Linked DNA regions of Mus musculus. The protein of the gene in region 1 purifies or fractionates together with the protein of each later gene. This does not show direct contact. Links are inferred from orthologs where the notes say so. Each region holds a gene or a part of one and is shown on either strand. Other genes may lie near its edges. The genes, in order: Cct4, Tle2 and Wdr5.

Evidence for each region.
Region 2: the proteins of Cct4 (region 1) and Tle2 purify together in Homo sapiens (affinity purification with mass spectrometry; 3 studies listed by BioGRID and IntAct, with this or other methods). This does not show direct contact. The link is inferred for Mus musculus from reciprocal best matches to the Homo sapiens genes CCT4 and TLE2.
Region 3: the proteins of Cct4 (region 1) and Wdr5 purify together in Homo sapiens (affinity purification with mass spectrometry; 3 studies listed by BioGRID and IntAct, with this or other methods). This does not show direct contact. The link is inferred for Mus musculus from reciprocal best matches to the Homo sapiens genes CCT4 and WDR5.

Annotation. Positions count from the first base shown.
Region 1 is NC_000077.6:22,993,755-23,003,990, forward strand, and holds the end of Cct4 (T-complex protein 1 subunit delta), read left to right. Parts: intron 1-543; coding exon 544-633; intron 634-2,175; coding exon 2,176-2,284; intron 2,285-2,560; coding exon 2,561-2,703; intron 2,704-3,278; coding exon 3,279-3,400; intron 3,401-3,848; coding exon 3,849-3,981; intron 3,982-5,278; coding exon 5,279-5,418; intron 5,419-7,103; coding exon 7,104-7,200; intron 7,201-7,607; coding exon 7,608-7,718; intron 7,719-7,805; coding exon 7,806-7,936; intron 7,937-8,412; coding exon 8,413-8,647; intron 8,648-9,062; coding exon 9,063-9,176; intron 9,177-9,382; coding exon 9,383-9,397; 3' UTR 9,398-9,582; downstream 9,583-10,236. UniProt on the Homo sapiens protein: Component of the chaperonin-containing T-complex (TRiC), a molecular chaperone complex that assists the folding of actin, tubulin and other proteins upon ATP hydrolysis.
Region 2 is NC_000076.6:81,571,535-81,582,743, reverse strand, and holds the start of Tle2 (transducin-like enhancer protein 2), read right to left. Parts: upstream 7,458-11,209; 5' UTR 7,077-7,457; coding exon 7,053-7,076; intron 6,940-7,052; coding exon 6,842-6,939; intron 6,509-6,841; coding exon 6,445-6,508; intron 6,216-6,444; coding exon 6,102-6,215; intron 5,413-6,101; exon of another isoform or gene 5,274-5,412; coding exon of another isoform or gene 5,202-5,273; intron 5,116-5,201; coding exon 5,053-5,115; intron 2,488-5,052; coding exon 2,413-2,487; exon of another isoform or gene 2,261-2,412; coding exon 2,077-2,260; intron 1,850-2,076; coding exon 1,830-1,849; intron 1,100-1,829; coding exon 989-1,099; intron 332-988; coding exon 287-331; intron 8-286; coding exon 1-7.
Region 3 is NC_000068.7:27,528,769-27,538,204, reverse strand, and holds the end of Wdr5 (WD repeat-containing protein 5), read right to left. Parts: intron 6,567-9,436; coding exon 6,491-6,566; intron 5,213-6,490; coding exon 5,179-5,212; intron 4,869-5,178; coding exon 4,794-4,868; intron 4,438-4,793; coding exon 4,350-4,437; intron 3,449-4,349; coding exon 3,348-3,448; 3' UTR 1,670-3,347; downstream 1-1,669.

The DNA.
Region 1 (10,236 bases):
CGCTGTGCCCAGTTCAACTTTTCAAACATTTTTTCTTAATTGACTGGCAGCATAAAACAGATATAATCTAATAATTTTTGGATTGATATGTCCTCAAATTAAGAGCTAGTTAGCAACCAAAAATGTGACAAACCAATATGGCTAGCCAAGGGATGTGGGGCATCTGAACTAAGGCCTCCATGCTTGAACTTTACTGAATGATTTCCCTCTAGACTCCTTTACATACCCTGGGCGGGGGCTAGAGAGAGGGGCACATACTGCTCTTACAGAGAGCCCAGGCTGTGCCGCCATTACTAGATGCAGAGGATCTGACACACACACACACACCATCTCTGAGCGCTGTCCTCAAATATATACACATACACACATGTAAGAGAGCAGCCCGGGCAGAGCCCGTTGATCTGAATGTTCTTACATTGTTTTACTAAGGAAAGGTATTTTGAGTTAAGCAATATACATATATAAACTAACTTGTATGTAATAGTAAATGGAATAGAACTAGTAGAATATTGCATTAAAGTTTTAAAAAACAAAACTTTCCAGATTCAAGATGGAAAAGGCGATGTGACCATTACAAATGATGGTGCCACCATTCTGAAACAAATGCAGGTATTGCATCCAGCAGCCAGAATGGTAAGTGTACATGAGTGTTTTGGTTTTTGAGACATAATCCTGTTCAGTAGCCCTAGTGACCTGCTAGTCACTGTAGATCCTTGAACTTGGCAGCAATCCAGCGAGCATATGTATGGGCATGTGCTGTCTTGTTAAGTGGTTTGTTTTTAAGTGTACTTGTAAGATACTCAATAGACTTAAATTTGATACTATTTAAACATGGAGAATCTTTTTAACTTTATGCTAAAAATGTACATTTTTAAGATACTGTTCTTTGTGAGGTGTTCTATTGTAAGTTGTTTTATTTTATTTTTTAATCTTTTTTCTTTTTGTTGATACTGCTGTGGATTGAACCCATGGCATTGTGCAAGCTCAACAAGAACTAAACTAAACACCCACAGTTCTTAGAAAACAAAATAATTTTAATCACATATCAGATGTTCAGTTCTCACTGGTCTTTATCAAAAATTATAATTTAGGAGTCACAATTAGTCTTGTGACAAGTGAGAAGTTGTATTAACAAAAATGAGCTTTAGGAATTGCTCTCTGTTAGAATGGACAGCTGAGTACCGCAGATTCCTATAATCTTCAGTACTCTGAAGCAAAAGGATCATTTGAGCCTATCGTAGACAGCATGCTTCAAAAAGGTCTCCTTCCATTACTTAAAGATGACTTTCTGCCGGGCGTGGTGTCGCACGCCTTTAATCCCAGCACTTGGGAGGCAGAGACAGGTGGATTTCTAAGTTCGAGGCCAGCCTGGTCTACAGAGTGAGTTTCAGGACAGCCAGGGCTGCACAGAGAAACCCTGTCTTAAAAAACAACAACAAAAAAAGGTTGACTTTCTAAATAATGGTATGTTTCTATGTGATCACTTCAGAAAAACTTAATAGAGTTTAAAATAACTTCATAGGTTCTCCGTCTATATAAGATACCTGTACGACTTTTTTTTTTTTAAGGCAGGGTATCATTTTGGCCTGGGCCAGTTTAGAACCTTTAGAACTGCTTTGTAGCAAAAAGGTCCTGGTATTACATGTGTACCACCACATCTCCTTTATGCTGTTTGGGGCTCCAACCCCCAGGGCTTTCTGAGTGCTAGGCAGGCATTCCTGAGCCACATCCTCAACCCTGAGGAGTGATGCTTTTGGACAGGACCTCAGACAGAATTTTCTGAGAACTATTTGTTTGTTTGTTTATTGGGTTTTTCCAAAACAGGGTTTTTCTGTATAGCCCTTGGCTGTCCTGGAACTCACTGTCGACCAGGCTGGCTTCGAATTCAGAAGTCTGCCTGCCTCTTCCTCCCAAGTAATGGGATTAAAGGCTTGCGCCACCACTGCCCTGCCTGAGAACTCTTTACAATCTACAGTTTAAACTAGAAATCATAAGGACAATTTTGTGCGCCATTAATACATGGATTTTCATCTTTAAATGAAACCTAGAGTAAAGTAAAAATCAGATGTCAAGAGGAATGTATTTCTAGCTATGTGTAGGTGACATCGATGTCATGCTCTGAGTTCGCTGTTAGGGTCTCATTTCTTAGCATCTTGTCATGTTCTGTTCACACAGCTGGTGGAATTGTCTAAAGCTCAAGACATAGAAGCAGGAGATGGCACCACGTCGGTTGTCATCATTGCTGGCTCTCTTTTAGACTCCTGTACCAAACTTCTGCAGAAAGGTATGTAGAGTATAATATACTTTTCATTAATGAAGAATGATGGAGAAAAAATTGTTAAAAGGCAAACATAAAAAGCCAAACTATTAAGTAATGTGGGGTTTAATTTTGAAGTAACTACTCTTTTGTCAAGAATTTCTATTTTGCTTCTTATTTTTGCAAGGCTTCTTTTTGTAGAAATAAATAGATTTCTAGGTTATTTTGACATTTTAATGAGTAAAACATTTTAAAATAGTGATAAATAGTTAGGTTGTAATTAACTTGGTTCATAAATGGCAGGTATACATCCAACCATCATTTCCGAGTCATTCCAGAAAGCTTTGGAAAAGGGTCTTGAAATCCTTACTGACATGTCTCGACCTGTGCAACTGAGCGACAGAGAAACTTTGTTAAATAGCGCAACTACTTCATTGAATTCAAAGGTGAGACTACCACTAAGGAGAATTAAATTACAGTTAACGGTGTGCTATGATGTTGTGAGCATTAATTGCTAAACTGTATCTAACACTGCCTCAAGAAGACTAGTAATAATAATTTCTATAACGGAATTGGTTTTAAGATTGAGGTAAAATGATCAGTAGAGCTAACGAAAGAATAAGGAGTTTTTAGCTGGACATGGTGGCACACACCTTTGATTCCAGGACTCAGCAGGTGCAGGCAAGCAGATCTGGTTTGAAGCCAGCCTGGTCTACAAAATACATTCTAGGAAAACCAGGGTTGTACAACTTAGGTAGGAATTCTTCACATAAAATTAAATGCCTTTTTTTCCTTTATTGCTATTTGCAATCTTGATAGTGTCAAGTGTTGTAATAAAAGAAAAGCATATATATTCTTAACTTGTATATGGAGCAATTTGCAAACTGGGTGGAGAAAACAACTTTAACTTTAGTGTCTTATCTACTGTATCCTAATAGGTGATAATAAGTCCTTGTAAATCTAAAGTCGGTATTTCTTAAATTATTGCTTCTGTAGAAGTAACTTTCTGTTGTAAATCTAGGTTGTCTCTCAGTATTCAAGTCTACTCTCTCCAATGAGTGTCAATGCGGTGATGAAAGTGATTGACCCAGCCACAGCTACCAGTGTAGATCTTCGAGATATTAAAATAGTTAAGAAGCTTGGGTAAGCGTCTCTGATTTCAATTTCAGTTTTGCCAAAACCAGATAACTTTGAAGAACAACTAGGGGTGGCTTATACATTTAGTGCCAGCAATTGATTGGCTGAGGTGGGAGGCTAGCTATGAGTTCAAGGCCAGCCTGGAATAAATAGTGAGTTCCATGACAGGCTGAGCTAGAGTGAGGTTCTGTCTCCACAAAACCCTTTAAAAACAAAGATGTTCTTAGTCCGATTACCTTTCTGCCTGGGCCAGTGGATGTAACATAAGTGAAAATAACTCTGAAAGTGAACATTAGAAATACTTGCTGACTTAAACTTTATTATATATGGTATCCTCAAGGGTTTGCCTGTATTTCCTTATGGTAGGATGGAAGTATATCCAAGAGGTCCCAGAATGGGTTCTGAGAATGAGTAAGACCAAAGCATTTCCTCTGCTCTGATTATTTTTTCCTAGTGGGACAATAGATGACTGTGAGCTGGTGGAAGGCCTCGTTCTCACACAGAAAGTAGCAAATTCTGGCATAACAAGAGTTGAAAAGGCTAAGATTGGGCTTATTCAGTTTTGCTTATCTGCTCCTAAAACAGATGTAAGTAAAATCCAAGCTGGTTTCCTACTTATTAACTTTCTAGTAAGATCTGTTTTTTTAAGATGAAAATAGAAAATGCTGGTATTAGTGATGTCTTTAAAATGTAGATTCAAAACAATAAAATTGAGACAAAATCAGAAATTGTTGCTACTACAAGTAATAAGGTGGAGACTGATTATAGGCATTTGCATAAAATAGAAAGGTGTGTGTGTGTGTGTGTGTGTGTGTGTGTGTGTGTGTGTGTTGTACTCATTCCTTGAGTTTGCAGATTGTGTCTAGCTTCCTGAGATATTACCTGCTGGAGCCCACAAAGATTGTGTTTGTGCAAGTGGAGCCTTAGACTAACTTGATAGCCAAACTATAAAAATTTTTTTTATGAAAGATATTACCATATTAGTATGATTCTCTAAAAAGTGTGTTGGTACCTCAGATTTGTTTTTACTATATTCTGCCAACATATAGGTGTGTTCAGTATTTTGTTCAAAAAAATAGCCATATGAAAATTGATCTTTAATTTTTGTGCATTATATATGATGACAAGCCACAGAGTAAAAAGGATGGAATTAAAATTATTTCTGTAATACATATGGTATGTAGAACAACTTCATTTTGGGGAATTTGGATTTTTCAGTTACCAAAAATGCACATGCAAAAAGTTTCAGAAGCAGTAGAGCCTCGTGTGGTCATATGTATCTATATTCTGGTACTCAAAGGATGGTGAATTCAAGGCCAGCTTGAGCTGTGAGCTACATAGTGAGGTCTTGTCTTTCAAACATACAAAATATCAGTAATGGGTGTGACTGAAAAGAATCAGCTGGGGCTGGAGAGATAACTCAGTGGTTAGACTGCTCTTTCAGAAGTCCTGAGTTAAACTCCCAACAACCACATAGTGGCTCACAACCATCTGTAATGGGATAGGATACCCTCTCCTAGTATGTGAAGATAACTGCAGTGTACTCATACATAAAATAAATCTTATATTAAAAAAGAAAAATAAGCTTTAGCCAGGCGGTACTGACAAATGCCTGGCACTTTAGAGGCAGAGGCAGGTAGATCTCCTGAATTCAAGGCCAACCTTGTGTTTGGAGCAAGTTAAGTTCCAGGACAGCTTTGACTATACCAAGAAACCCTGACTTTTAAAAAAAAATACAAAAACAACTGAAATAAAACATAATAGAATGGTTTATTTTAGACCCTTTTCTGTGCATACCTATATAACTGGTAGGTGTGGGCTGGTCTTTCACTTAACATTAAAATCTCTTGCTGAAAATAATTACTGTGTTCTTGTTCCCATCAGATGGATAATCAAATAGTAGTATCTGACTATGCCCAGATGGATCGAGTGCTTCGAGAGGAGAGAGCCTATATTTTAAATTTGGTGAAGCAAATTAAGAAAACAGGATGTAATGTCCTTCTCATACAGAAGTCTATCCTGAGGTCTGTTCTATTTACTTTCTTCTCCCTGGATTTATAATTGAGTTGGGGATCCTACAAGCAACTTTTAAATAATGTGTATGTGCATTGCATGTGTACAGGATCTGGATCCTTGGAGATCAGAAGGAGGTGTTGGATGCCCCGAACTGGAGTTTCTAAGCAGCTGTGAGCTGCTCTGTTAGGAAACTAGGAACTGAACCCAAGCCAAGCCCTCTGCAAGAGTAGCAAGCACTGCTTAACTACTGAGCCATCTTTGCCTCTACCCAGCAGTTCTTAAACACTTAGTCTCTAAAGCACAGGAAATCTAAAGTGCATATTTTGGTGCATCATATTTTCATTTATAAATACAGGACTATTTTCTCTTAAACATGGCCAGTAGGGTTTTTTTAGATCAAGGCTGTAAGAAAATGAAGGTCTAACATAGTTGTTCTTGCCTGCAGTCCTAGTGCTCAGAAGGCTGAGGCTGAAAGGTTACAAGTCGGGCCAGTCTGGGAGAGAGTGAGATGAAAGTGAAAAGACGAACGGGCTTAGTTTTTGAGGTCACTTGTTGCTCAGGGACCCAAGCTTGCCTCCTAGCATCCACATGGTGGCTCACAAACATGTAATGCCAGTTTCAGGGAATGACACACTCTTCTGAACTCCAGGGACAACAGGCATACTCATGGTTCATATGATTGAGTACAGGCAAAACACTTATTTTTAAAAGGAAAAAAAATGAAAACCACATTTTTTAAAAAGCTGTTTAAAACTGTTTGAGGCGAGGGATATAGCTTGTTACTGCTTGCCTACAAGCCTTAGGTTTGATCTCCAGCATGACTTAAACTGGGTGCTGTGTCACATGCCTTTAGTTTTAGTGCTTGAGGCAGGAGGATGGAGTCAATGGCCAGCTACCAGGTAAAATTCTAGGCTATTGTGGGGTGTGTGAAATTGTCTCAAAACGGTGAAAAAACCACTGCTGAACTAATTAACTAAAAAATAGTATTTGTGGGCACTGCATAGACAAGAGAAGTCTCAAATTTGAACTCATCTTTTTCTTTTTCCATTTCTGGGGTGTTTTTTGTTTATTTTTAAATAGATAGACATATTCCCATTTACTTCCCTAATAAGCTATGCCAGAAGGTATAGAGAGTCCTTTGTAAGCAAGTAAGAGGCTGCTCTAGTCTCTAGTCATTTAGTGGCTCTGCCCTTGAGTAAATTGGTTTTTGCTTAGCTTTGATCAGGACGGTAATGTCTGTCTTGCTGGATCACAGGGTTGCTGTTACTAGGATTGGTTTGCTCGTTTGTGAGAATTGTGCTTCTGAATAATGTAAGCGGTCACCTAGCAAAATGTGCTCACTTCTTAAGAATCACAGCCCACTTGTCATGTACAGTTTTGTGTCATAGTAATTTTTCTAGTAAAATTAGAAACCTTCAGAAGAATTTTTGAACTTCTACTGGGTATAATAATGTCCCAAGCCTTTGATCCAGCACTTAGGAAGCAGAGGCAGGCAGATTTCTCAGTTCTAGACAACTAAAGCTACATAGGAAGAGTTTGTCTCAAAAGGAAGAGGGAGAGAATTTTGAACTTGTAAATGGAACATTAAAAGTGTTTCCCTTCATAATTAGCCATTTGGATAAGAGTAAAATTAAAATCTTAACTACTCAACAATAACACTTTTTAAACGTAAGATAACACTTTTGTGTTTTAGAGATGCCCTTAGTGATCTTGCATTACATTTTCTGAATAAGATGAAGATTATGGTGGTTAAGGACGTTGAAAGAGAAGACATTGAATTCATCTGTAAGGTAAAATTAATGTGTGCAAAAATATCCATTAACATGTATTGTGGGTTTGATTTGTATGTTATGGATAGTTGTTTGGTTTAGTTTTTAATTTTAAGTTTTTTTGTTTTGTTTTTATGTATGTGCTTGCATGCATGTATCTCTCTGCACCATATGGTCCTCTTAGAGACCTCATGTGGGCTTCAGGTCCACCTGGAGCTATGAACTGCCATTGGGTACTCTGGAAGAGCACCCAGCCTCTTAACTACTGAACCATGTCTCCAGGCCCAGCAGTGGTTTTTTTTTGTTTTGCAGTCCAGTGTTGAGTCTAGTGCTTTGAATAAAATACCAGACAAGTGCTTGTTCTTCCACTGAGCTTTGTGTCTAGCACAATGCTGTCTTGATATGTGCACTTGATTATCTTTTTCCAGACAATTGGAACCAAACCAGTTGCTCACATTGACCAGTTCACTGCTGACATGCTGGGTTCTGCTGAGTTAGCAGAGGAAGTCAGTTTAAATGGTTCTGGAAAACTATTCAAGGTAACAATATATTGTTAAGCCTTTTTTTCTTACCTTTTTGTTTTTTTCTTTTAGCCAATTACTTAATTTGAAATTTGTTCACTAAAGATTACAGGTTGTACAAGCCCAGGGAAAACAGTTACAATTGTCGTACGTGGTTCTAACAAACTGGTGATTGAAGAAGCTGAGCGCTCCATTCATGATGCTCTCTGTGTCATCCGATGCTTAGTAAAGAAAAGGTACTGCATCATATTTATTACTCTGTGTGTGTGTGTGTGTGTGCGCGCGCGCGCACAATGTAGCATCTCGGGGGGTGGGGTCCTGGGGCAATCTCTTCTTTTCCTACCATCATGTAGGTCCCAGGGATCAAACTTGGGTTGGTGTCAGGCATTTTACATGCTGAGCCATCTTGCTGGCCTCAATATTCTGAAGACTTTAATTTGAGGCTGGGATATAATACCTACCATTGATAACAGTAATTGACCAGTTCAGCCTCCACCCAGCACTGCATACAGCAGATGTGGTGGGGCACATCTGTAACACTTAGGAAGTGGGGGAGGAAGATCAAAAGCTCTGTGTCTTCCTCTACTTTATCCAAGTTACAGGGCAGCTTACCTTTAAAAGACAACCAAACTGCTTTATCTTGACTTTTATAAAGTTAGTAAAGTAGCTTCCTTTGGGGTAAAAATAAGCTAAAAATATTTGTGAATTTCAGAGCTCTTATTGCAGGAGGTGGTGCTCCAGAAATAGAGCTGGCCCTCAGACTGACAGAGTACTCCCGAACACTGAGTGGTATGGAGTCCTACTGTGTTCGTGCTTTCGCGGATGCTATGGAAGTCATTCCATCTACACTAGCTGAAAATGCTGGCCTGAATCCCATTTCTACAGTAACAGAGCTAAGAAACCGCCATGCCCAAGGAGAAAAAACTACAGGCATTAATGTCCGAAAGGTAATAGTCTTGGTGCTTAGAGTTGCTGAAGAACAGATTGGTGGAAGGAAACGTTTACAATTTTGTCATTGTTGGTTAGTAGGCTTTTGAACTTAAAAGTAGTGTGATTTTGGATTTACACCTGAGACCTGGCAAGTTTACTGCATGTTCTTCAGAATAAAGATGATGCCATGGGAAATAGCATTTATTTACTGTCATTTACTAACTTGTAAAACTTAGTCTGGTCTTTGACTTCCTGGGTTGTAAGAACAGTACCTCATAGGTCTTTTGGGAGGGCACTAGTTAAGTAGATATAAAGTGTGAACAGGGTATTCTGTTGTATCAGCAATTAGCATGCCAGATGAGTACAGAAGAGTGATACCTGTGCTCGTGTTTATTGTGTGATCAGATACTGAAGGCATCTGCTTCTCCGCAGGGTGGGATCTCCAACATTTTGGAGGAAATGGTTGTTCAGCCTCTGTTGGTGTCAGTCAGTGCTTTGACCTTAGCAACTGAAACTGTGCGGAGCATTCTGAAAATCGATGATGTGGTAAGCGAATAGAGTTAAATTCCAGGGGAAGTCAAAAAGGCATACTTAAAAGTTTTATATTTTGCTTAAAAGCTTGCTACTCATCAAGAAGAGACTAATTCATGACTAATTTTTTTTCCATAAAAATGAAGCAAAGATTTATCTTAAACATGATTACAAGTTATGTGATTACAAGTTTTGAAACCTAAGTGTTTTTTTCTCATCAGGTAAATACTCGATAATCTGGATAAAAGGATGGTTGACTGCATCATTATGGACAGAAGTACTGTGGCTGGAATGAAGGACAACCACCTTGTTCCTTGTCTGGAAGCTTCAGAGTTTTTGGACATTGTCTTCCAGTTGGCATTTGTTTGAAATTGTATTGAAACAATTTAATGAAAACATTAAATACTTGGTTTTAAACTCCATATTAACTTGTCATTTTAAAATTATACTGTTTTTGATACTTGGGAGAAACTGCCTATAGGTAAACTACCTTCAAATTTTAACATTTACCTATTGATCTTACAGCTTAATTCTGTGTATTAACATTATTTTTGTTTGTTCACTTGTGGTTGTTTGGTTTGTAGGTTTTTGTTTTGTGAGACATCTCAACTGTCCTTGAACATTTGATCTGTGTACCTTCCAAGTGCTAGAATTAACAGATGTACACTGTGACGCCCAGTTTGTACAGCTCTTGAGATTGAAACCCAGGGCATACTACCAAATGAACCGTCCCCCTATCCTGGTTGGTGGTTTTAGTTTTCAGATTGTGCTCATATAGCTGGGCCCGGAATTGATTGTGTCCTGCAGATTATCTCAGCTCTTGATCCTCCCTTGTCAACCTTAAATGAATGCTGAGATTACAGGTGTGTGCCAGATGTTAGGTCTTTAATTTCCTTTTGCCTATTGTGTTTGTATATTGGGGAGGAATGTACATGATAGGGTACTTGGAAATAAGGCAAACTGGAAACAAATCAGTTTTCTTAACCTTGTGGGTTTCAGGGATCAAACTCAACTTGTCAGGCTATTTTGATTACCTCTAGTTGTATTTTATTTTGTTTTGTTGAAATAGCAGGGT
Region 2 (11,209 bases), on another chromosome or scaffold:
GTTGGTCCTGAATTCAAGAAGGTGACATTGGGTTGGGGACCAGTGAAGCAGGAAAGACTCCCACAGCTGCCATGTGGCCCCCACCTCATGGAGACTGGGAGCCTCTGCGGTGGGGCGCAGCCTCTTCCTTCGTCCTGTGGGCCTCAGTTTCCCCACCTGTGCTGTAACAGGCATGCCAGAGTCCTCCAGACTGCCTGCCCCACATGTTCCCCAGTCTGAGTGGGCCAGAGACAGCCAGGATTTCTTCCCTCCATCCCCCTCCCTTGCCCAACCCCCACCGTCTCACCTCATCCACTACCAGGTTATAGTCACTCTTGTCTTCCTCACTGTCCTAGGAAAAGACAGAGAACACACAACCTCAGTCACACCCCTATCTCCACACCCATGCCCAGCCCTCTCTCTGGGGGGGGGCTCTGACCCACCCCAACCCCCACACAGCGCCCCCACTCCAGCCTCACTGCCTCTGCTCTATAGCCTTCTGTGGCTCCCACTGTCCTCTGGAGGAACGCCAGTTTCCAGCTTCATTCCCAGATGCCGGACCTGATTCCTGGCCCAAACAACAGGAGAGACCAGGCGGGCACGCGGCTGGCAGGGGCCAAGGGTGCCACGTGAACTGAACTCTGCAAACTTGCCACCTCCCATTTCCCTCCAAAGCGTACTTTCCCTTGTGCTCTGAGCATGGTGCCCAGGGTCTCTTGGAAGCTCTCTGCCCCTGAATCATGTCCCTACACCCTCCCTGGGGGACTCTATGCAGGCACTCAGCTCACAGTGGAAATATAATAGCAAAACAGCTGCATGGTCCCTAGGCTTCAACCCCTTAGCAGTGAAGGCTGGTAGGACAAAGTGTCTTTTGATTAGCAGGCACTCCACAGACTCTGGGAGGCTATAGAAGTGAGCACCATGGACACAGTTCCCATGGATCTGACCAGGACCAGTCCTGGTCCACCCCTGTCCACCCCAGCCCTCTGCTTCTCTCTCCCGAACTCACATAAGGCCCTGACAGATCCTTGTCTTCAGCTCTCTGCTGTTTCCCACTGCCGCCTCGGCTGCTGGGATGGTCCTCTTCCACCAGACTCTCAGGGGGAGACGGGGAAGAACTCTACAAGGAAGGATGTAAGGTGGGTTCCCAGACTACATTCTTGTCCGGCCAACACTGAATGGTCCTCATTGGGGGATCCTAGGTGTGTGGGGGGGCACATCCCTGACCATGCCCTCAGCCCCTCACTGGGGATTCTAGGATTCTAGGCAGGGCTCTACTTCAGCTTCACTGCTAAATTCTCTGCCTCTGTCAGCTAATAGAGTAGTGAACTATTGTACAGATGGGAAAACTGAGTTCTATGAAAATGCATTACAGTGAGACTTGTAACTCACCAAAAACTCAAAAACACTCAAAAACCTTGAGAGTGGGGGATGGGAGCTCTCAGCTGAGCAAGAAGTCTGCCTGCGTGAGGACCCAGGCAGGACTTGCTGAGGCACACCCGTATAGCAGAATTTAAGACACGGAGGCAGAAGGATTATCCTAAATTCAATGTAGTATGGGCTACAAAGCAAGACCATGCCTCAAATTAAATAAACCATAGCTGGCTCAGTGGTTCTAATGTCAGAATCCAAGAAGCAGGAGGATCTCTGTGAGTGAGACCCTGTCTCATAAAACAACAGTGCTCATATCTCATTCACCAGGCCCTGAGTTCTAGCCCTGGCATCCTGTACTTTGGATGTGGTGACGCTGGTGTCCTCGCAGAGCCCAGGTGGTGAAGGCTGGGGACATGCTGCACCCACAATCCCCTAGCCTACTTGAACACAAGCAGTTTCTCGCAGTGGGCACTCACCCTGCTGGCAGCTCTGTCCACTGCAGGAAGCCGAAAGGAAACAGATGATTAGGGGTTTGTAACCCTGCAAGGCTTCAGTGGGTGGAACGCTCCTTCCGGGTCAGAACCCGACCTCCCACATCCCAGGGAGATGCCTCTGCAGGAACAGCTAATGTGTTCCCAAGGACAAACAGCACGAACATTGAACCCCACAGCTGCAGCCCCTACTAGCTGTCACCGTCCCGCCAGCAATGGGTCGCCCACTCACCTCTGGACCCCTCGGCGTCCACACCCACACGGTCTTCCTTTACGGCAGCCACCAGCTGGGCCTGCGCAGCCAGTGCCCCAGATAGGGCCAGCAGCCCAGTGGCCCCGGCACCCACCAGGCCGGCTGGGCGCGGGGTGAGAGGCACGGGGGGTGCGTGGGACAGCGGCTGGAGCTGATTCTGCTGCTGAATGGGGAGAGGATGGCCTGGGGGAGGCGGGCAGCGAGTGGCGGGGACAGGGTGCACAGAGGGTGAATGCTAAGTGCAGGGAGGTTAGCACCCACTGCGTGCCTGGGCTGGGAGCAGGGCATCTCCTAAGACCAGCTGGGGCGACTTACCCCCAGGAGGCTGTTCAGTTCCCCCACGGTCACCTGCTTGGCTCGGTCCACAGCCTGGAGCACCTGCTGCTGATGCTAGGGCCAAAGGGGATGTGGGCACTAAGCCACAGGCTGTGCAGTCCAACTCTGTCTGTCTGTCTGTCTGTCTGTCTGTCTGTCTATGTGTATTTCTGCATGTGGAGGGTGGAGGCTGCTGCTGTCTTTCACCGTATTTTGAGGTGGCTCTCACAGCCCAGCTGGAATCTAGCCAGTAGCCCTAGGATCTCCTTCTGTCCCTGTCTCCCCTGCTGCAGTTACAGGCAAGGAACACCACCCCTCACTTTTCCCAGTTGCTGGGGATTTGAACTCAGGTCCTCATGCTTGTGGGACACCTTCCCCAGACCCTCTCTGACTGCTTAACTGACACTTCAGAGACCTGGCCTCTTCCACAGGCTCTGGGGCCACAGTTCCAGGTCATGCTTTGCAGGGCCTACTGGACCCCTAGGGATGCTGGGCAGTGTCCCAGCCTCAAATCACTTGCTAGGAGCTCCGCGTGACGCCACACTCTGTCCACATATACAGTGTGTCATGAATAAGCACCACATAGAAAATAAAATACCTGTATTCCAAGCATCCACACGCCAAGTGCCCAAGTACCCACATGCCAAGTACTCATACACTAAGCACCTACATGCCAAGTATTCATAAACCAAGCACCTACATGCCAAGTACCCACATATCAACTACCCACAGGCCAAATACTCATAAACCAAGTACCCACATGCCAAGTACTCATAAACCAAGCACCTAATGCCAAGTACCCACATATCAACTACCCACAGGCCAAATACTCATAAACCAAGTACCCACATGCCAAGTACACACATACCAAGCAGCTACTTGCCAAGTACCCACATACCAACTACCTACATGCCAAGTACACATAAACCAAGCACCCACATACCAACTACCCACAGGCCAAGTACCTACCTACTAAGGACCCACTTGCCAAGTATCCACATACTAAGCATCCACCTCAGAATGTGCAGCCTGGGGCTGGGCATGCAGGTCAGGAGAGGACCCACCCAGCATGCTTATCCCCAGCACAACAACATTAAATATGGATGGATTCAATAAACTTGAGCATACATGGCTGGTGGCCTCACTGAGATGATCTGTCACCCACCCTCAGGGGAAAGGCAGCAGGTCCCACAGAAAAGCTGAGGTTGCTGGCTGTGTGGGGTACCCAGTGTGCCCATCCTGGGGTGGGACCTGCCCATGTCTCTGGAGGAACACCTCCACACAGAAGTGGCAATGGCCAACACCAAGGTCCTATGGTCAGCAGGAGCAAGGCAGGCCACGGAGCTTTCTGATGTTTCACGAGCTAGTCACACTGGTGGGTCAGCCTCTGTCTGTACTGATGCTGTGTTTTCAAAATCACTGTCCTAAAAATGCCTAACAAAACTTGCTAATCGGAGCCATCTCAAGTACATGGATGAACATGAAGCTCATTCGCAGGGCCCTGTGGCTTTCCCCACCATCATCTCTGGAGCTTTCCAACTCCCTTAACTGAAGCTCTGTCCCTGCTCTCTCCCCAGCCCCACTCACCCACCATGGCACTTCCTGGCCCTGGATTTGATAACTTCAGAGTTCTTGGGAATGGAAATCTGCAGAGTGTCCTGTGTGTGCCCTGGCAAGAGTCACCAAGAGTCATCCTGTAAGATTAGTCCCATAATTGCTCACCTAACTCTCAGGACACCCTAACCAGTAGGTAAGCACAGAGAGGCATGTATCTTGCCTAAGGACACCAAGTCAGGACTTGTACCAGCAGATGTAAGCCATGGGTACAGGAGCACCCCTAGCTAGCTCCATCCAGAGCAGAGAGCCAGGGTTAGAGAAATGGCTGAGTCGGTAAAATGCTTGTCATGGGAACATAGGGACCTAAGTTCGATTCCCCAGAAACACTGAAAAAAGCCAGGCATGGAGTGTGTGTACGATTCTAGCACCGGTGAGGAGACAGGAAGACCCTGGGACTCACTGACTAGACAGCTTCCAGGCCAGTCAGAGTCCCTGCCTATTTAGAGGGGGTGGGATGGCAAGATATCTCAGTAGGTAAAGATATTGCAGCCAAGCCAACAACAACCTTAGTTCAATCTTTGCAAACCACATAGTGGGAGGAGAGGACCCATTCCTGCAAGTTGACTTCTGGCCTCCACATGTCTGCTATGGCCTATGCACCTCTTCCCAAAAAAAATAAATTATGGGTTGGCTCAGTGGCTAAGAGCTCTGGCTGCTCTCTCAAGGGACCAGGGTTCGATTCCTGGCACCCACATGATGGCTCACAACCCATCTGTAACTCCAATTTCAGAGGACACAGCGTCCTCCTCTGGTCTCTGAGGGTACTGCACACATATGGTGCACAGATATGTGGACAAAACACCCATACATATAAAATTAAATAAATGCATTAAAGTGTAATAAAAGCAATCAAAGGAGAATGGCACCGTGGGAAGCGCACACACCAAGGCTGACCTCTCTCTGTCCTCATGATATGCACACTCATGGACATATGAAGGGCAGAATGCCCTTGGTCCTCACCCTCAGCCAGTGTCTAACCAGGCCCAGGACACCCTCCCTGCCTCCAAGACTCTGCACACTCACCTCCTGAGTGAGGAACGGGACCATCTGGGCACAGATCGCACTGAGGCGTTTCACAATCTCAGCCTGGTAGAGAAGCAACAAGCTGGGTGGCACTGGAGGGGGACAGTCACCTCCACCATCCAGCCCCCAGCACTAGAGGGGACAGTCACCTCCACCATCCAGCCGCCAGCACTGGAAGGGACAGTCACTTCCACCATCCAGCCCCCAGCTGGACTGAGCATTCGTGGAGCTGCCTGGCTAGGGAGTCCTGCAAGTCTGTGACACCTCCCCACCGCCCTATGAAGCCCTCAGAGATGCAAACATAGATGGACCGATGATGCCCAAGGCAGCACTGTGGTCATTCCCCGAGGCCCTAGAAACCTGTGTGAAAGAGTGTGTGTTTGTCTGGCATGACCCAGCTCTCTGCAGGTCTTTGGGGGGCTGTTCTGTGGTTGCCTCTGGTCGCCTACAAGGCCTGTGTCCTCCACCAGGCAAGGACCAGTAAGGACCAGCTCTCTGCTGCCCACATCAGCACCAAGTCCCACAGAAACCAGGGGAAGCAAATGGCAGGTGAGGCTCACTCAGCATCTACCTGCACAGAAAGGAGCCTAGGGTAGGGCTCCAGCATGGAATCATGAGTGTTCGGGGGCAAAACCTATAAATCCACTCATCAACAGATCTCTGAACCCTCAGGACCCCCTAGAGCCACTGGCCACTTTGGGGACTCAGGGTTAATTACAGACCTCAAAGTCAATCTCCACATAGAGTGTATCTCAGAACCCTAACACCATAGGCTGGAGTCTCAGAAGCCCATGGGATCAACCATGCAACTCCAAATGCTATCTCAGAAGCTCAAGCCCTCAGAACCTTCAGGGCTATCTCAGAACCTCCAGTCCTTGGAACTGTCAGTTATCTCAGAACTTTCAGGGCTATCTCAGATCCTTGAACCCTCAGAACCTTCAGGGCTATCTCAAATCTCAGATCCACTCAGAACCTTTGGGATGACCACCTGAAATGTGGATGAACTTAGTTAGACCCTCCCCGCAGACACCCGTACCCCACATGGTCACCTGTTTATGCATCTCAATGTTGAGTCCGTAGGACATCTCGTAGTACTGCAAAGGAGACAGTCTTGGCCAGTGTGGATAGCTGGTGCCACCCTGGGGACACTGATGGGGTGCAGCCTCGAGGGGGTGGTACGAGTATCAGGGCAAGACACAAACACCCTGAGCCCCATGGAGACCCAGACAGGGAACCCACAAGATGGATCACGGATGGGCTCAGAGAGATAGGACAATCAGGTAGTCCCCCAAATTGGAGGGGGGGGGAGACCCACAGAACAGTGCCTGGTATCCCAGCCTGCCCTTTTTAGGGAGAACACGGAAGTGGGCAGAATGGGCAGGTACTCCTTACCATCACATAATGCCTTTGCATTTCTGTCTTCTCGCTGGCCAGCTTCTCACATTCTAGCTTGAGGCTGGGCAGGAAGAATAGACAAAAATGGGGGTTGACTTGCCACACCCCACATGGGTCAGTTTCCACAGTGACAGGCAGAAGCTGCTGGCTCCCCATTCCTTTAGAAACTGTTCCCAGTCCTCTCGAGCCCAGATCTACTCCTGGGACCAAAACATTCTCAGGGAAGGCTTTCCCTGAATCCATTCATCTCACACTCTTCTGGGCACCACCTCCACCAGAAAGCCCTCCAGTAGGCCCAATGAGCCCCGCCCCTTGCCCTAGAAACCACGCCCCTCCAAGAGTCCCCGCTCACCCCCATGGGGCTTCCCAGGGCCCAGAACTAGGGCTCCCTCACCTGTGGTACTGAGCTTGAAGAAACTGGAATTCCTCTTTGATCCGGTCACAGATTTCCAGTACTGAGAACTTGAAAGGCTGGCCAGACTGCAGCGGGGTCTGAGGGGGAGAGTGGGAAAGGACACTAGGGTGAGTTCCAGGGCAACAGCAGGCAGGAGTCCCCTCCCTGGTCCCCACCTCCTGCAGCCAGAGATGGGAGTCTCCGTACTCACCGGGTGCCTTCCCTGAGGGTACATCCTGCTGATGGATGGGTGAGAGAATGGACCCCCCCAGCTTCTTGGAGGCTTGAGGATGTGGCAAAGGGACGCTGAGGTGCAGAGGTGGCGCTGGGGAGAGAATTGGGTGCGGGGAGGAGCAGGCAGTAGAATTTGGGGTGCTAAGCTAGAGCTGGGGTGCAAGGAGACTGAGCCTGGAAAAGCTAGGAGAGAAGCCGGAGCTGGGGGAGGGATTTTTACGCAAAGAAAGAGCAGCCAGGGAGAGCCTGTCGGGGCAGGGGACCAGGACCCCGCGCTGCGCCCCCCCTCCAGCCAGCGCGTCCGGGGTTGTACAACCCAGGGGCAGCTGCAGTCAGCGCCGCAGGTCTGTGGCCGCCGCCCGGGGTCGGCGCTGGTGGCCTCAGTGGCTGCGGAGCCGCCTCCCTCCGCGGGGCTCGGCTGGGAGCCGCGGGCGGGACCCGCCTTAAGGTGGCACCGCCGCCCCCGCCTGCTCTGCTTCTTCGGTTCCAAGACCCGCTGGGGAAACTGAGGCTTGGGTTCGATCCTAGTGTTCCCGCCCCACCCCCACTCAAAAAAAAAAAAAAAACCGGGGGGAGAGAAATTAGGCAAAAAAAAAAAAAAAATCTCTGTGCGCGCGCCTCTGGAGCCGTGGGGGCTGCAAGTGGCTTCTCTGGGACAGCGACACTATGCCCTTATGAAGGATAAACATCCCCAAGATCGAAAGAGAGAGAGATACACACCTGTCCCAGGAAGAGCAGACCCAGGCTATGCTTGTCAACCAATGCTGCCCCACTCTGGAGAGATCCAGGACAGAGCCCAGGGCAGCTTGGTCAGGCTCAGAGCCCACTACAGACTTGCATGCTAGTGCCACCACCAGCCAACTGGGTGGCCTCCTCTATCCAGATTGGGCTCCTAAAGGACCAGACTCTTTAAACTTAGTGCATAGAACTCTTGTGTATCTTGAACCGGAACACTAGAAAATCTTCTGCAGGGGCTTCACCACTGACCCCGCCCCCAGACCTTCACTGGGAGATTCTAGGCAGCAGCTCTACCTCTGACCACACCCCCAGCCCTTCACCGAGGGATTCTAGGCAGAAGTCACCCATGACCACGCCCCCAGCCCCTCACTAGGGATTAGAGACTCCACTCTTGACCACGCCCCCAGCCCCCTTTTACTTTTGGAGGCAAGGCCTTGCTAAGTTGCCCCTGCAAAGCTTGAGCTTGGAATTCTCAGTCCCTGTAGTAGCTGGGACAACAGGCCTCTGTGTGCCATCAGGCCACCTCCTACATCCCATCAAGTTTAAGGGTGTCCCCCAGAGCTGAGAAGCCACCTGTCACCATGGAAACCCCCTTCCCCCCAGGAATCATCCTTTGTTTCCAACTCTGGCAGGACTAGACCTCAGAAGAGGAAGGAGGGGACCCACACCTTCAATCCCAGCACTTGAAATGCAGAGGCAGGCAGATCTCTCTGAGTTTCAGGACAGCTTGGTCTACTGTGGTGGTTTGACCATGCTTGGCCCAGGGAGTAGCACTATTTGGAGGTGTGGCCTTGTTGGAGTAGGTGTAGTCTTGTTGGAGGAAGTATGCCACTCTGGGAGTGGGCTTTGAAGCTCTGCCAAGTGCCTTAGTCAGACTTCTTCTAGGGGCCTTCAGAAGAAGACACAGAACTCTCTGCTCCTCCTGTACCATGCCTGCCTGGAGGCCTTCATGCACCTGTCTCGATGATTATGGACTGACCCTCTGACTCTGTAAGCCAGCCCCAATTGCCTTGGTCATGGTGTCTGTTTACAGCAGTAAAATCTTAACTAAGATATCTACAGAGCAAGTTTCAGGACAACCAGGTTCTACACAGAGAAACCTTGTCTCAGGGAGAGGGAGGGAAAAAAAAAAACCAAGGAAAGAAACCTGAGCTCTGGTCCATCATTAAATCAATCAATAAATGTATGCCTGGTGCTACTGTGAACTACTATGCACTGGGAAACAGTGGGCAACAATCATAGGGGAAAGACCTCACATCCACATTAACGTTTGGATCTCTGTGGGCAGCTAAGTCAGCTACAGAGGACAGGGGCCTTTATGAGACTTGCACGGGGCCAGCGCTCTACAGCAGGAGGATACTAGCTGAAAACCTAGGACTTCCAGGATAAAAGGACAGAATGGAGCTCTCTCTGATCAAACTCTGGGAGATGAGCCACAGAGCAGCCAAGATCACAGCTGGCTGGTCAGGAGCTGTATGAAAAGCAACAATTTAGACAAGCGATGACAGAGGAACAAACATGAGCCACTGCGATCATATGTGTGGGAGAGCGCTCAGTAAGGTTAACATTGTAGATGGAACTTTACAAAGTCCGTGGGCCCAGAAAGTGACAGTCTTTCTGACCTAGACAGTTAGCCCTCTGAGAATGAGTGTTCTGTAACTCCTTGGAGCATCTGCCAGAATCCCCGAGAGGGGACTGGGGGCGTGGTCAAGGGTGGATCCCAGCCTAGAATCCTCCAGCGAGGAGGCTGGGGCGTGATTAGTAGTGGAGCCCCCCTTCACCCCATTCCCCACCCTAGCATCCTCCAGTAAGTGGCTGGAGCCATGGCCAGGGGTGGAGCACTCTCAGTATCTGGACCGCCATACTCTCCAGCATCCTAGGCGTTGCCCAGCCTTAAGGCTGTCGCAGGCGCTGTACAAGGTGTAGGTCCTTCTACATGGACCATTCTTTCAGGTTCTGGCCACTCATCCTCTCCCCTGCAGAGGCCTGTGCTGGTGCCTTGAAGCGCCTCCCAGCACCTGCTACTAGAAACACGGCATCTTACTCCTCAGCCCTAGTTTCTGCTTTACTGTTTACTCATTTTTCCCTTGCAGACCGAGGAACACACCTGGCTCCTGGGAAGTCTGAGAAAACAGTGTCCCACAAGCTGTCCCCAGGCCCCAGCGGTTCCTGATTCCCGGCTTTTGGTGTCTGAGAACTTCTGATCCCCAGAGGCCCCCGGGACTCCAGAATCTCCACTCCCTGAGCTATCGCCTTTGCCAACCCTCACCATCTCCCCAAATCAAGCTTGTTTGCTATTGGTTGCGTTTCCCAATCTAACCCAGGCTGGTCTCATCTGGGGAGTCAGGGTCGCAGGTGTGTGTCACCGTGCTTACACTGCCAAGATTTGCTCAGACCAGCCCCACCCCCATGTCCCACGCAGCACCCTTCCTGCTAGTGACCCTCAACCTCGGTTCTCTAAGCCTATACACTCTCCGCTGGTTTTCTATTACCCGGAGGACACATTCCCTCTTAGCACTATTTGTGCTGGCCACACCCTCTACCCTCCCCTATTCAGGTACCCTGTCATGATTGAATGACCTAATTTGAGTTCTCTTTTCCTGGAATCTCTTCTCCCCCCTAAAGCTATCTCCATCTTATTCTAAGATCAGCCCAAGGCCACCCGCTGCAGCCTCCCCAAAGAAGGGCAACTGTGAAGGAACCCAAGGCCAAAGGGAGCCTCCTAGAGGGTGGGAGCTCCTGGAAGGGGGCCACTGCCCCTCTGTTGTGCGGCCTGGGAAGCCACAGCCTCTGAGCTTCCGTGGAAGCAGAGGATATGATCAGGGGTTTCCTTTTAGAATGCCTGAACCCCATCCCTGGACAGACACCACACCCGAAGTGGGGAGCACCCTCAGCATTTCCCACCTTCCTGGGCCACTTTTTCCCATTCAGCCTGGTCATGGATCCTACACTTTGCAAAGTGGGGCTCAGCGCCTCAAAGTGCGCCCCTGCCTCAGTGTGCACACAGGCTCCGTAGTTCTGCGCGGTGCAAATAAAAAACAGAAAAGGGAAAAATCTACTACTCAGAGCCGGGACTGCTCGGACCACCTTAAATCAGACTAGCCGCCCCGCTGCCGAGGGACCCGTCTATCTCCTCCTTGGTTGGTCGGGTATGCCAGCCAATCAGCTCCCGAAGATCCCACATGGGTCTCTGACGTCACCAAAAGCACTGGCCAATGAAGGCTGGGTACCCTGTAGCCAATAACAGAGAACGGTGGTCTGGGATAGTCCAATAGGAAAGCTCCCGATGGGGCTGGGGCGTGCAGCTCCTCCTCCCCGACACCCCCCACCCCTCGTGAGTGGGGCCCCGCGTGGTGGTCCCTGAGGATCTTGGACCCCCTTTTAAAAGTAAAAGCC
Region 3 (9,436 bases), on another chromosome or scaffold:
ACCCTGGGGATAAACAGACCCACTCGCAAAGGTGTCAGGGCTGCACCCCTCCTCAGGAACCCACTGACAGGCAGTCATACTCAGGCCCACACGGCTAGAACCAAGTCCTTAGCCAAAAAGGAAGGTGGAAACCTTTAAGGCATTGGGCCATGGAGCAACACACTTCTCTTGGAAGGTGGAGGGAGGCTCATGAACTCCAAAAAGAAACTTAGTCCCAATAAACTGAAAGCTACAGGACTTATAAGGCTCCTCCCCAATTGCTAGGGAGAGGCTGGCTCAAGGTTCAAGAGCACTAGCTGCTCTTCCAGAACTCAGGTCCACTCACAACCATCACAAGGATCAGACCCACTCTTCTGGCCTCCATAGCCACCAGACACACACATGGGATATAAACACAAAGCACTCGTATACATAAAGCAAATATTTCTGGGCCATTCTGGAACTAGCTCTGTAGACCAGGCTGGCCCTGAACTGACAAGAGATCCATGGGTCCCATACCTGGGATTAAATGTGTGCCACCAACATGGGGCACATCTTTAAAAATGCTAAGCAGAGACTCCCACTGTGCCTCCCACTGGCTTGGGGAGCTCCAGGGCTGTCACTCAGGCTGGGCTGGCTGGTTTAGGACACTCACTGATCAAGTTGGATTTGTTACCTGGGTTAGACCTTAAGTTCTCTAGTCTTAGTAACTAGACTTTAGTTCATGTCTGCCCAGAAAAGGTCACAGCCTGTGTACACCAAGAACACAGGGCACCCAGCAGAAATCCATATAAAGCCATTCCATTAGGCCAATGTTGCATGAACAGCTGCTTGTGCCCAGTTCCAAAGCCACTTATACTAAAGCTACTGACACAGGATCCATGACACCGTACTTCAGAGATTTACATTAAACCCATCAAAAGTAAATTATGCAGACTTGGGAGCAGGGAAGACAGCTGAGTGGATAATACACTTGCCACATAGACCTGAGAATCAGCATGCATCCCTAGCACTGGTGTAAATGCAGGGCAGGCACAGCAGCCTGCCCGCCTTCCCAGCATCCACAAGGCTCCCAGTTATGCTGCCCGGCTAGACTAGCCAAATTGGAAAGCTTTGGGTTCAAGTAAGAGAACTACTGAGGTGGGGAGCTATCAAGAAAGTTATCTGGCATCACTCTACACACATGAACCATCACACATATGCACATTACCTAAAAGAAAAGCAAATTTTTTGGGGAGGGGTTGTGCTGAGCAGATGGCTTAGCACTTGAGAGCACTGACTGCTCTTCAAGAGGTCCTGAGTTCAAATCCCAGCAACCACATGGTGGCTCACAACCACCCGTAATGAGATCTGACGCCCTCTTCTGGAGTGTCTGAAGACAGCTACAGTGTACTTACATATAATGAATAAATAAATCTTTAAAAAAAATTTTTTTTCTCCCTTTGGTTGTTATTTGAGCCTTGGTTTGTGTAATCCTAGCACTAGCTCCGCAGACAGGCTTTGCTTGAACTTAGACCCTCCTGAGTGCTGGAACTAAAGGTGTGCTCCTCCACTGCCTGTTCTGCTAAAGAAATCCTTATTGAGTGCCAACCAAGTGGGAGGGAATGACAGGTAATCCTCTGATCTCCACACACCCAATGAATGCACACAGAATGAATTCCTGGAAAAAACAAACTTATATGGAACAAAATTACAAGGCATGAAAATCTTTATTTTTAAAAAGAGAATGTATTTTTACATAAATCTACAACAGAGTTCAACTGTAGAAAAAATAAACTATACTCGGGGATACTGTGCTCGACATGGCAAGCAAGCTCCCTCCCTCAGGAGGAGGCCGCACACCAGGCCACAGCTGGAAGGACCTTACTACCCTCCAGAAACCCCAGCAACATGCCCACAACATTGACCAGAACCCAGGTTCATCTATCCAACAGACGCCAGGGGCCCCAGAGCCCATGTCAGTGTGACAAGCCACCCTCTTTAACAATGGCTTCTTCGATGTGATAGCCCATTTACACACCATCTCCCTCAAGGAAGTGACAATGTATGGGGTTTCTTTTCCAATACCTTTGGATTCTTATTATGCACGATGGAGGGAGAAAGGGCTGTCAGGACCACAGCTGGGGACAAGCCTTGGCAAAGGCAGAGTAGAGCAGCTACTGCCCTGGGTGATGTGGCTTCAATACACATCAGTGTTGGCCTCACAGATGGTTGCTGCTGCAACCAGAGCAAACCCAGAATCTCCTTTCCACCCATGTCTGTGCCCAGCAGCCTCCGCCACCCATCTGTACTCCCAGAACCTCTGCAGTCTGCTCCACAGTAGGTCACCCTGGGTTCAGCCAGCAGCAGTTGTGAAAATGCTGTGTAGTCCTGAGCTTGGCCACTACCTCTTTCCAGTCCTGGTCACCTGAGGCGGTGACCTGGGGCGGGGGCCAAGGACATAAGAGAGGTTTGGTGGGTTTAGAGGCCAAGGCAGGAAGCTGTACCTGCTGGGGCAAGCACCATATTGAACTCCTCCCTCCTGCACAGGTGACCCTGAGCCTCTCACAGAATAAAGAGGTCCAGAACCTCACTACATGGTGCCTTTCCAAGACTTCCTTCCACTCTTTCTCATCTGAGGTTCTTCCTCTCCAACACTCAGCACCCACAGCAGCCACTGGGAAGAAGAGGCACAACAAGGATCCATCCTCCCAGAGACCTTTCCAACTCCTGCCAGGAAGGGAGGAGGGCTTTATAAAGCCAGGTGTCAAAGAGCCTGGTCAGAACTCAGGGCCACACCCAGTCCATACCCACCTTTTATTACAGTGTGTGTAGCTTACTGAGTGATACCAGTGAGACAAGGAGACATTTCAACCACTGAGAGGTCAGTGTTGACCTATGAACTCCAAAAGAACAAAGGGACTTGACACGGATACAACTTACAACCTTTCTGTGTTTCCAGAAACTCATGGAAGCACGCTGGGTACTATTACAGGCAGGAAAATTGAACAAGCAGGCCAGGGCAGGAGGCAGGGAATGGGAGTAGGGCTGTAGGTCCTGTTCCAGTGTGCACTGGGCAATACAATACCAAAACAACAACCACAGAGAAAAACAACCCATGAGGAGCTGAACTCACTCTTGTAATAAAAAAATTAAAAATTTGTTGCCTCTGAGCACAGAACAGACCAGGAACTTCCCCAGGCAGAGACAGAATTGGCAAGAAATATCACAGTGGCTATCAAGACTCGGTAGTGTGCACTCCCCTGAGCCGACATCTTCAGATAGGAGGTGCACCAGGCCTGTCAACCCAGCCTGGCCCCATGCCTCTGCCCCACATGTGTTTCTTGCCAATCCGGGTGGCTTCCTTAAGTCTCCCATGGAGCCAGGACTTAGCAGTCACTCTTCCACAGTTTGATTGTTTTGTCGTTCTCTAACGCTGCTGAGGCAATGATGTTCTCTGTCGGGTGACAAGCCGTGGAAATCACAACATCTGAAAGGAGAGTAGTCAGGGAGCCACTCTAGGACAAGCAGTCCCAGCACATGCCTCACTGCCCTCAGGAGCACAGGGAGCACCGCAGGGTTCAGGGGAGTGCTCAGAATGCCAGAATAGTAACAGGCATCTTAGCCTTGCTCTGCTGGGCACAAGGCACTTGGTGGGTACCCAGCAGGGTCTGCACACCTGTCTACACTGGTCTCAGGACTGACTATGCCCACTTGCCCCCTACTATTCCTGAGGTTGTTCTACCTGAGCACAAGGTAACCATACATCTGGGCAGGGATACTGGCATTACTGAGATGGCATGCAGTCCACTAACCCTGCTTGCTCCCTGGTGCTCAGGTTCCACAGCAAGTGTGACCAAGCCACTCCCAGCTGAAGACAACTGCTTTTTCAGAAAACGAGCTCTCCACTCCTTAGGGTTGCAAAGGAGCACATGATATCCCTGCCATCCCTGGCCCGCTTCAGAAAGTAGACAGGGAAGAACTAGAATGAGGTAACTCCATAGCTGGACTAAGTTTTGCAGGGGAAACAGAAAACCAGCATCCCTGAAAGAGGCTGAGCCTACAGGAAATGTGGGCTAGACACTCTCCATATTCATGGAGTCCTAGTCTCTAAAGTGAAGTAAACAAGCTATATTCCTATGAGGCTTGAGTCTGACTTAAGACCCAAAAGCCAGCCATGTCCAAGACCCTAGATAAGAGCCCTTGATGCTGCCTCCAAGGCTGATCATAGGCCTTCTCAGGCCTGCAGGGCTGGGATGGCAGGGAAAACAGAGTAGCAACACCTGCTGTGTGTCCCTAAACCCCAGAGACAACCAAGCACCTTGGGGAACTGAGAGGCTCCCCTGGGTGGCTCCACCCACCCGTGTGGCCTATCTGCAATAACTACCCACCTGTGTGACCCTGCAACTTCTGCACAATCTCCTTGGTCTGCAGATTCCAGATATACACCAGGTTATCTTCAGAACCAGACACAATCCACTGCAGCATCGAAAGAACAAGCAGGCAGTGAGGACAGGCAAGAAAGACATCAGGTGATATGCTGAATAGGTAGCACAGGCAAGCTGGCTGCGGTTACTCTAATTAATACCTATTTCCCCAATTTAGGGACATGCTAAATGCCTCCCACGGCACCCTCAGTCACTGGATCTATCCAGTCACCACCTGCTCTTAGATCTTCAACCATATCCAAGTGCAACACACCACAGATTCATTCAAAACGACAAGTGTGGGTTTGTTCCATAGGCTTAGGGATGCTTCATAAAGACAAAAAGCCACCTGTGATGGGTGGCCTCTTAGAGAGCTAGCAGGATAACAACATCTCAGTGGAAACTCACCTTCCCGCCTGTCACGGAGAAGTTGGCAAATATGCAGTACTTCTCATTCTTGTGGCCAGTGTATGTCTTCAGGCACTGAAAAGGTAGGTGTGCATTGTTAGCACCCGTGGTTAGCTTTCATTCCAGAGCATTCCAAATTCTGGGTACATACACCTGACTGTGTGAACATGCTCTCTAAATATTCTAGACATACACAAGGCCCAGACTTTAACGTGCAGACTAGTCATTCCTAAAACATATCTTTAAAGGGAGTTGTACCATACTTGCTCATCAGAAGAAGATGCCCAAGTCCCTCCTGCTGCAACTCATGGGTTAGCTATACCCCCCTCAACCTGTTACCTGGGACTGGCATGCAGGCCAGACCGGCCACATGCCTGAAGCTCACCTTCCCCTTGCTGTAGTCCCAGAGCTTCAGTGTGCTGAAAGACAGAGAGTGGGAGTGAGGGGCAGGCCATCTTTGGCACGCCTTGCCTCCCCTGATGCCACCGTATCCTAACAACCGTGAGTCAGGAAAGAAGATCCTCTAGTTCACCAAGCCCAGCCACTCCGTGACACACAAAAGCAAACACAAGGACCTTAGTGCTCAGCTCAGAAACAGGCTGAAGAAACAGATTGCTGGTTGTCTTCCCAAAACTAGCAGTTAGCCAGAAGCAGAATGTGGAAAGCCATGTTGGCTCCAGAAACACCCAGTACAGGTGCCACAGGAAGAGACTCATGCCGACCTTGGAGAAGAGTGGAAGACTAACCAGAGGAGTTACAGAGACAAAGTTTGGAGCTGAGATAAAAGGATGGACCATGTAGACACTAGCATATCCGGGGATCCATCCCATAATCAGCTTCCAAATGCTGACACCATTGCATACACTAGCAAGATTATGCTGAAAGGACCCTGATATAGCTGTCTCTTGTCAGAGTATGCCTGGGCCTAGCAAACATAGAAGTGGATGCTCACAGTTGGCTATTGGATGGATCACATGGCCCCCAATGAAGGAGCTAGAGAAAGTACCAAAGAAGCTAAAGGGATCTGCAACCCTATAGGTGGAACAACATTATGAACTAACCAGTACCCCGGAGCTCTTGACTCTAGCTGCATATGCATCAAAAGATGGCCTAGTCGGCCATCACTCGAAAGAGAGGCCCATTGGACACGCAAACTTTATATGCCCCAGTACAGGGGAACGCCAGGGCCATAAAAGGGGAGTGAGTGGGTAGGGGAGAGGGGGTGGGTGTCTATGGGGGACTTTTGGTATAGCATTGCAAATGTAAATGAGCGAAATACCTAATAAAAAATGGAAAAAAAAAAAAAAAAAAAACTAACCAGGATAATGCCATTCAGGCAGCTCTCAAGAGCTAACTTGGCCAGGTTCCTTAGAGACTTTGTACAGTGTGTGCCAGATTAAGTGAGCACCTAAGAGGAGGTCATCATGTATGGCAGTGAGATTATGCTGCGTGAAGATGCTCAGAGCCTGGGAACTGGCAGGAACAACTAGGTGTCAAATCCTTCTCATACTAAAACTAGCTAGAGTGGACAGTCCTTTCTTCAACCCCTCAACCCACAACCCAAGAACGAACTCTTAATGCAGATATAAAAGAGTTCAACTGGACAACTGGGAGAAGAAACAACACAACAGACAGGAGAGGAACCCCACCAACGAAGAAGACTGTGAGCTCACTCCTCAGGGAACTGAAGCACTCACTTGTCCAAAGTTGCAGCCAGGATGTATTTGCCATTTGGAGAGAACTTCACGAAGGACACTGGAGGATTGTCATCATCTACACAGAAGAAAAACAGGCTGATCTTTGGCAGAGTCGAGATGCAAGTCAGCTCCCAGTTACCCATGTTGACTGTGTGGGGACCCTGCCACCATCACTCTAGAAGGACACCAGAGAGCTTTGACATGCCATCACCTTCCCTGGCCGTTCACATTCTTAAGTCTTCACCCAGTGCCCTGCCAACAAGCCTCCACCACATAAGGAAGGAGGCCCAAAGCTCTCCAGCACTGCTGAAGAACTGATCCCCTGAAGAAAGCTGCCTGACCTAGGGGGTCTTAGAGACAACCGCCCATTCTTCAGCCAAGCAAGTTCTCCTTTCTTGATGGCCTTGCCTCTGCCTCCTGAAGACCAGGTTGCTGACTTTAGCCTCAGCATTTGGCAAGCGGGGTCAAGGCTGGGGTGTTGCACTGCTGAGCAGCCAGGCCTCCAACAAATTGCCCACATAAAAGCTGCTTTCCAGAGCACAACAAAGTCATATCCTTCTGCACAGTGGGCCAATGCGGAGAGCGGGGAGGGCCCTGCCCCTCGCCTGGGTAAGGAGAACGGATCCTGAGGTGGGCCTGCTCGGCCAGCCAAGGAAGCATACCAGGCCCTAAAGTGTGCATACAAGAGGCTGGTGTACCCTGACACACACATTACCACAGGGGGTTCGCAGGGGGCTCCGTTTCTCGTGACTGGTCACAAACACTGAAAGGGACACGAGAGAGTAACTGGGCCACATAATGCTATTAGTTCGGCTGACATGGAGCAACACCTGTGCGCCTTTCCAGGCCACCTCTGAAACAGATGCCTGCAGAAATCAAGACCTGTGCCACACCCTTAATCCCACCCAGCATTCCAGGGTGCAAAGGTGAGGCAGATCTCATTTTGAGGCTGGCATGGACTACAGAGTATCAAGACAGACAGAAATATAAACAAAATCTGTCTCAACAGCATCCCATCCCCTGCAAAAGAATGTCTAAACGTTAATGTCTAAACCTGAAGATGAGAAGAGAAATAGACCTTGGGCCAAACAGGCCTGCCTACCTCAATCCAGGCCTTACTGCCCATTGCCTACCCAAATCTAAATCCTGGCCATGCACCTGGTTGCCTTTCTCAGACTAGAGTTTAGCCAACAATAGATATAAAACAAAGCACCTGCTGGGCAGTGGTGGCGCACGCCTTTAATCCCAGCACTTGGGAGGCAGAGGCAGAAAGATTTCTGAGTTCGAGGCCAGCCTGGTCTACAGAGTGAGTTCCAGGACAGCCAGTAGTGCTATACGGAGAAACCCTGTCTTGAAAAACCTAAAAAAAAAAAAACCTACAAGTTTCAGGCACTGCTGAGATGGCTCATGCACTCGATGCACAGACCTCACAGTACAAGAGTCTAACTCCTAAAAGCTTTCTCTGACCTCTACACATGTGCTGAGCACAGGGAAAAACATACACAAGCACATGGACATGTGTATACTGGGAAACACACAGACCAATTTAAAAAAAAAAAAGAAAATGCACAGATCACAGATTTTGTTGGGCATCAAATTACAATCTTTAATCCCAGCACTCTAGAAGCTGGTAGATCTCTGAGTCCAAGACAAGCCTGGCCTACAAAATGAGCTCCAGCCCAGCCAGGGCTACACAGGGGAAATCCTGTCTGTCTGGAGGGGAAGAAAAGGGGTGGGGAGGGCAGGGCACCACAAAACCAAAGAAACAGAATTTCACTGTTCCCTAGGACAACTGTTTAACTGAAGCAAATGTAACCAACTCTAGCATTCCCTCTTGGAGCTGCATGTAATGGCTGCATCTAAACTGGATATGTGCCTGCACATCATCCCACAGTAACCACTGCCTCCTGGCACGGTACATCTGTAGACCCAGTGGTTTTTTTTTTTTTTTTTTTTTTTTTTGGTTTTTCAAGACAGGGTTTCTCTGTATAGCCCTGGCTGTCCTGGAACTCACTTTGTAGACGAGGCTGGCCTTGAACTCAGAAATCCGCCTGCTTCTGCCTCCCAAGTGCTGGGATTAAAGGCGTGCAACACCATGCCGGGCTATACCCAGTGTTTTGAACCACCTCAAGACTTAAACTGCAGTACAAAGTACACAAGTCACCTGCAAACACTGCACCATCTCACAGGAAGGACCTGAGCATCGGAGGATTCTGGGATCAATGGAAAGTCTTACAACCCTCTCCCAGATATTACTGAGGGGTGACTAGACATGCTATGCAGCTTTCTAGCTAGCTGGCTTTTGTATCTAAGATGCTGCCCTGTAAATGAAGGATGACACAGGGTAGCAGATGTTCACAAGCGTTGATACACAAGCACTAGGGGTATGCTGGAATAGCCGCTGAGTAACATACTCAGCACCAGACAGTTGCCTGGAAGAGAAGATTGGGGAAGGGGATGGTAAGACAGGACATTACTACCTGACATCTGTGACTGCTCTGAAAAATCAGTAAACCCCAAGAGTGGACACAGAGCAAGAAAAGCTTAAAAGCCATTATCCCAGGTTGTGTCCCGAAACTTATGAAGACTATCCATTCACAACTCAAGTAAGTGACAGTTTTGAAGAGAACATCACACAGATGATGGTTGAGGTGGGGAGGGGTGTTGAATATGAGCATGCCATTAAGAGCTGGGCACAGAGAAGCACAAGGGTATGCATGTCATCTGTAGGCAGAGTGATATCAGAGGTCACCATACCCATGACCTGTTCCCTGGCCACCTAAGCTGCCATAGAGGATGAGCTCCTGATTCTTGGCATTCTATCCTAGCAACCTGGCAGGCCAAGAGCACTACACTCGTTTCCCTAACAGTCTAAGGAGGTAGCAACTTACCACAATGCCTATCTACCCCGCAAAGCCAAACTGGTAAAGAAACAGGCCATCTAAG